Macaca fascicularis: one gene and its partner. Each later gene encodes a partner of the first gene's protein in a complex. Links are inferred from orthologs where the notes say so. Each region holds a gene or a part of one and is shown on either strand. Other genes may lie near its edges.

What was found.
Region 2: the proteins of tubulin alpha-1A chain (region 1) and CFAP276 are in contact, whole or in part, in a cryo-EM structure (PDB 7UNG), measured with the Homo sapiens proteins. The link is inferred for Macaca fascicularis from reciprocal best matches to the Homo sapiens genes TUBA1A and CFAP276. Residues at the interface, in NP_001257328.1 of Homo sapiens: Lys112, Glu113, Ile115, Asp116, Leu117, Leu119, Asp120, Arg123, Lys124, Asp127, Arg156, Ser158, Val159, Asp160, Gly162, Lys163, Leu195, Glu196, His197, Ser198, Asp199, Tyr262, Pro263, Arg264, Trp346, Lys430, Asp431, Glu434, Val435, Val437; in NP_001231954.1 of Homo sapiens: Pro43, Trp44, Arg46, Leu47, Asn48, Thr50, Pro51, Thr52, Ile53, Thr54, Ser55, Arg57, Arg58, Ala60, Tyr62, Asp64, Ile67, Pro68, Lys69, Asp70, Asp71, Phe74, Arg75, Lys90, Ser91, Leu94, Leu95, Asn96, Lys98, Thr99.

The regions. Positions count from the first base shown.
Region 1 is NC_088385.1:56,001,627-56,005,377, forward strand, and holds the start of tubulin alpha-1A chain, read right to left. Parts: upstream 2,917-3,751; 5' UTR 2,815-2,916; coding exon 2,812-2,814; exon of another isoform or gene 2,256-2,811; coding exon of another isoform or gene 2,253-2,255; intron 603-2,252; coding exon 380-602; intron 258-379; coding exon 109-257; intron 1-108. UniProt on the Homo sapiens protein: Tubulin is the major constituent of microtubules, a cylinder consisting of laterally associated linear protofilaments composed of alpha- and beta-tubulin heterodimers.
Region 2 is NC_088375.1:125,240,735-125,243,216, reverse strand, and holds part of CFAP276 (cilia- and flagella-associated protein 276), read right to left. Parts: intron 465-2,482; coding exon 348-464; intron 1-347. UniProt on the Homo sapiens protein: Microtubule inner protein (MIP) part of the dynein-decorated doublet microtubules (DMTs) in cilia axoneme, which is required for motile cilia beating. May play an important role for the maintenance of myelin-axon integrity.

The DNA.
Region 1 (3,751 bases):
CTCTTTATTAAAATAACAGTTCAATTCTGTTTGAAAAAAAAAAAAAGCAGTATTTCAAATGTGTTCTTTAGGCTCATTAATTTACTTTATTCTTGAAAAGAAACATACCAGCTTACGAATTCGGTCCAACACAAGGTCAATGATCTCCTTGCCAATGGTGTAGTGCCCTCGGGCATAGTTATTGGCAGCATCTTCCTTGCCTGTGATGAGCTGCTCAGGGTGGAAGAGCTGGCGGTAGGTGCCAGTGCGAACTTCATCTGGAGAAGGAGGGAGAGAAGGATGGAGGGAGTGGGTGAGTGGGTGACTAGCGGAGCCCCCCAGGACAGACCTCCTGTCCCAGCATCCTGGGATCTCACTTGGGTTACTGAGGTCAACTCACCAATGACCGTGGGTTCCAAGTCTACAAACACGGCCCGGGGCACATGCTTGCCAGCGCCCGTCTCACTGAAGAAGGTGTTGAAGGAATCATCTCCTCCCCCAATGGTCTTGTCACTTGGCATCTGACCATCGGGCTGGATGCCGTGTTCCAGGCAGTAGAGCTCCCAGCAGGCATTGCCAATCTGGACACCAGCCTGGCCAACATGGATGGAGATGCACTCACGCTGTGGGAAGGAAAAGTGAAACAATTGTAAAATTAAGGCGTATTAGCATTTCAAACTCTTAGTAAACTTTTAAAAATATTTCTAATAATATACAGATATTTTTCAAAATTATTTGAGGTCACATCCCTAGCACGATACAAAGATTAAGGAAAATGACCTGCTGCAAATGCTGCATATGGGTGTGGTCTGAATAATGATGTCGCCTTGGCCCTGTTCAGCACATGGTACCAGCCCATTGTGCCTACTACCATGCTTGAATAGAAGACTTTTCATATTTAAAAAGTATTCAGTATTCAAAGCACAAATTTTGTAAAATGAAGTAAATTCAATTATGACATAATTGGGATTAATTTTACTGCTTTCTTCCCTTTTAAATAAAGAAGAAAGTTTCTTCTGAATAGGACTGACTTGATATTATAACATGGACATCTGTACTGCAGCTGAGGCAAGAAGCCACACCCTTCTGCAGTCTGTCTGCAGAATCCATCAATACAAGGGGTTTAGACAAGGTCTGCTTCTGCCTTCTGCATTGCTGCATTGCTGTATTTGCTGTGCCTGGTGCTAGCCTGTACTGTCTGCTACATTATTTAACAGAGCAAGCTCTATTTCCAGCAACTGCCTACATGATCTCATTGTGCTGTTTTGCCAGTTTTCCTCCTCTGACCCCGCCCGGGACCATGTGCCTGAATTGAAATGAATTAATGAAGATGCACTAGAACAAAAGACAACGGGATGGGGAGTATAATTCTTCTTTGTCTGTAGCAATTTCATTCCTTTTTTTAAAGAAAAAGGTTTTTCCAGATCTTCTCCACTGTAAAAGCTGAAAAATTATCCGTATCTTCACACACACACACACACACACACACACACACACACACACACACACACCTTCCTAAGTTAGAAACAAGCATCACATGAAAAGGTAGCAAACAAAGAATAAAAGCCCAGTGGAACGATAGTGAAATATTTATTTAAAACAACAAAATAGTATTTTAATCCTGAGATTCTCTACCCACCACATAATATTCATATTCTTTGCATCCAATAGAGGTTTTCTTCTCTGTGGTCTTTAGGGCTACCACTTTCATTGTCTATTCGCTGATGTGGTGGGGGCGGGGCGGAGGGGGGCGGCGGGGAAGGGCGTTTCCCTGGTCCTGACCATCAGGGTACCCTGGGGCTCACAAAGTGGGCTTTCTCCCTCGCTGAACGAGCAGCGCGCGCGCACACACACACACACACACACACACACACACGACCATCAGGGTACCCTGGGGCTCACAAAGTAGGCTTTCTCCCTCGCTGAACGAGCAGCACGCACGCACACACACACACACACACACACACACACACACACTTCAGTCGGTCAGGGCAGGGCGTCCCCAGACCAGACATTAAAGAGTTTGTCAAGTGAATTGTGATTTTGCTCAAGAGAAAAAAAAAGGTCATCTTAATTATAATAGCGAAGAAAACCCTTTTGGAGCCTACAGTTCCGCAATGATGAAAAGTTTTTTTTAAGTCAGCTCCTGACAGAGGAGGTTTAGTGAGGGCGAACCCCGCCCAGTGGCTCCAACGCCATAGAAGCCAGAAACAAACAACCCCGCCCCTGCGCCGCCCTGACACCCGCTGCCCGGGGCTCCAGTAGAAACTCACCATGTTTCCCCGGGAATGTGTGGTTATCTTTCCAAAACGCCAACGACCGCGAGGGGTCTTCCCACGCTAACCCCAGGCTGCGCTTTGTTCCCGTTCCCCCTCCCACATCCCCCAGCTCGCCCAACGCCCCCGCTCTTTTTGGGTGCCTCCTCCTCTCCCGGTCCCCAGAGAACGAGGCGAGACAGAAAGGGGCCCCTCGGCGTCTGCGAAACCGTGCGCACAGACACTGGACCCAGCCGGGACGCCCGAGACCCCTCGGTCGCGGCAGACGGGCTGCCCGCGACCCCGAAAGGCTGTAGGACAACACAGGCGCCCAGGCGCCGCCTTTGTTCCTCCCCAGCGCTCTGCAGCGCCCTGGGCGCAGTCCTGGCCGGGTTCCTGCACCCGCACTGCGGCGGCGGCGGAGCTGGAGGATTTGGGGTAAAGCTAAACCTCACAAAACACACCACCACCCTCGCCCAGAGAGCTTACGAAAGAAAAGAGCTTAAAGATTTTCCAAGCAGAGCCTGGGGGCGCTGACTCCACCCAACGGCCACAAAGAGCCAAAGCCGATTCTCACCATGGTTGCTGCTTCGCGACTGCAGAGCAGATGGCGGAGACAAGGAGGAGAAGGTTGTTGCTTCTTACAGCGCGACTCTTAGGCGGTCGATGTAAGAGAACCTGCGGCACATGGGCGGATGCGGCTCCATATATACAACTCGGTCACCATGGGGATGGGCCGGGGCCTGTTCCTGTTGGTCCAGACCCCCAATCTGCCCAGAGAAGCCAGGACAGGAGACTGGTGATTGGTGCAAACGACGTGGGATGAGGTAATCTCTCCCCCACCCCTTTTTCTCTAGCATCCGTAGACTGTTTGCATCCTTTAGACAAAGAGACCGTGCAGAAGCATTCTGCCGAGCATCCATTATGGGGTGGGGTCGGGGAGGGGCGGAAGAAGAAAGGGGACTGGGGTTGGAAGACTTTATGTTGCTTAAACCTCAAAATACAGTTAAAATTATCTATGTGAGGTTTTTTCCCCCTACCCTTAATAACAGATTTATGTTCAGATTAAATATTTAAAGGAAAATTACTGCCAGCCCCTCCCTCGCAGTATATTAAACTCGACTACATTTTGTTAGGGTTCAATATCTCTAATTGCTTTAAAAATAAAGTGGGAGAGAAAATGGGCGTAATGCTCAAAACGGTCTGGGTAATTGTGATTTTTTTTAATTTAAAAAAAAGATTTAGTCATACAGTCATTCAAAATGGTTTCTCAGGTTCAACTAACTTATTTTCAGAGCTTCTTTTGCAGGCACATGCACACTCGAATAGCTAAATAAAACTGGAAGATGGAAATAATAACCATACTAAATAAAGAAGCGAACAAATAGTTCTAACATGGCAATAATCAACAGCAAGTGCACGTAGAGTAGTTATAATAGTTTACTAGAGGTATTCCTTTATGAGAAGTCTATGTAACACATTTTGTGTGGTGCATTGTCCTTTGGAATGAATCATCT
Region 2 (2,482 bases), on another chromosome or scaffold:
TAGGGACAGACTAACTTTCAAAAAGAATATTAAGGGCTGGGTGCAGTGGCTCGTGCCTATAATCCCAGCATTTTGGGAGGCTGAAATGGGAGGATCACTTGAGGCCAGGAGTTTGAGACCAGCCTGAGCAACATATTGAGACCTCATCTCTTCAAAAAAAAATTAGCTGCATGTCGTGGCACATGCCTATAGTTTCAGGAGGCAGAGGCAGGAGGATTGCCTGAGCCTGGGAGGTTCAGTCTACAGTAAACCATGATCAGGCCACAGCATTCCACCCTGGGTGACAGGAAAAAAAAAAAAAAAAAACCCTAAATGGCTGCAAAGAGGAATATTTCAATGCTAGATACCTCGGGATCAAAATAGTAGGCATCCCGCCTCATGGAAGTAACTGTGGGGGTTGAGTTGAGCCGACTCCAGGGTTCCTGCTGCTGAGCAAGGTGAGTTGGGTTCTTGTATGGCAATTTCTGCAAAAGAGAAACCATATCCAGGACAACCTGGTTATACAGAAAGCCTTGCTGATGTGGTTAGCTTCAGTAGCATCGCCTTATTCCATCCAGTTTTATTTGTGTTTTTTGTTTTATTTTTTGAGACAGAATCTTACTTTGTCACAGAAGCTGGAGTGCAGTGGCATGATCTCAGCTCACTGCAACCTCTGCCTGTTGGGTTCAAGTGACTCTTCTGTCTCAGCCCCTCAAGTAGCTGGGATTACAGGCATGTGCTACTATGCCCAGCTAATTTTTGTATTTTTAGCAGAGACAGGGTTTTGCCACGTTGGCTAGGCTGGTCTTGAACTCCTGACCTGAAGTGATACACCTGTCTCAGCCTCCCAAAGTGCTGAGATTATAGGCATGAGCCATCACGCCCGGCCCCATCTGGTTTTATCTGAATCTCAGACATCTGCAAAGAGAAGAATGGTATGGGGCAAGACTCCCCAGGCTCTTGATCCTCCTAAGTTTTCTTAGTGAGAACTGACAGAAACAGGCCAGGAATATAGGAGAAGGTATAGAGTGGGATGAGGGGAGTAAAGAGTTGGGAGCAGATAGGAAAAATGATGAGCTCAGGTTTAGATGTACTGAGTTTGAAGAAAAGATGAGACATTCTAGGGCCGGGCGCGGTGGCTCAAGCCTGTAATCCCAGCACTTTGGGAGGCCGAGGCGGGTGGATCACGAGGTCAGGAGATCAGGACCATCCTGGCTAACACGGTGAAACCCCGTCTCTACTAAAAAGATACGAAAAATTAGCCGGACGAGGTGGCGGGCGTCTGTAGTCCCAGCTACTTGGGAGGCTGAGGCAGGAGAATGGCGTGAACCCGGGAGGCGGAGCTTGCAGTGAGCTGAGATCGCGCCACTGCACTCCAGCCTGGGCGACAGAGCGAGACTCCGTCTCAAAAAAAAAAAAAAAGAAAAGAAAAGATGAGACATTCTAATGCAAATAACAGGTAGAAAACTGGAGGTGTAACTTGTTGGAGGAGAGCTCAGAAGGATTGGTTGTCCACATGAAGTAGTAGCTGAAGCCTGCAAAATGGAGTCAGGCCAAAAGGAAAGACCTGGTTTGTGAGGATTGTAACTGGGAATGAGGAGGACCCCAGAGAAGCAATCAGAGACGGAATCAGGCGAGTGCAATGTCTAAGCAGGTAAGACAAAGATTCCAGTAAGCAGGGAAGGGTCACTGATTGCAGGAATGGCAGAAAAAGTACACTGCACATTAGTTCTCAATAAAGCTCCACAGGCATGAACGTAAAAAGCATGTAACAGATTTCTTCATTATATGTAAAATGCCATATTCGCCACTGTATCCCCAGCTCCTAGCACACTGACCTAACACATGGTATTAAAAAACGGTTGAATCCAATATATCATTTGACTGAATTCCAGTCAGTGCAACTAACAACCTATTAGAACTCTGGCTGGGTGTGGTGTCTCACCCCTGTAATCCCAGCACTTTGGGAGGCTGAGGTGGGCAGATCACCTAAGGTCAGGAGTTTGAGACCAGCCTGACCAACATGATGAAACCCCATCTCTACTAATATACAAAAATTAGCTGGGGGTAGTGGTGGGTGCCTGTAGTCTCAGCTACTTGGGAGGCTGAGGAGGGAGAGTCGCTTGAACCCAGGAGGTGGAGGTTGCAGTGAGCCGAGATTGTGCCACTGCACTCCAGCCTGGGCAATAAAAGTAGGATTCTATCTCAAAAAAAAAAAAAAAAAAAAGAACTCTCATTAGACCTATCCAACATTGTAATCCTCCTTCTCCCCAGTATGGCAAAGTGCTATGTGAGCCATACCTTTTTTTGTTTTTCTTTGAGACGGAGTGTCGCTCTGTTGCCCAGGCTGGAGTACAGTGGCGTGATCTCGGCTCACTACAACCTCCACTTCCTGGGTTCAAGCGATTCTCCAGCCTTAGCTTCCCAAGTAGGTAGGATTACAGGTGTGTGCCAGTGTATCTGGCTAATTTTTGTATTTTTATTAGAGATGGGGTTTCACCAT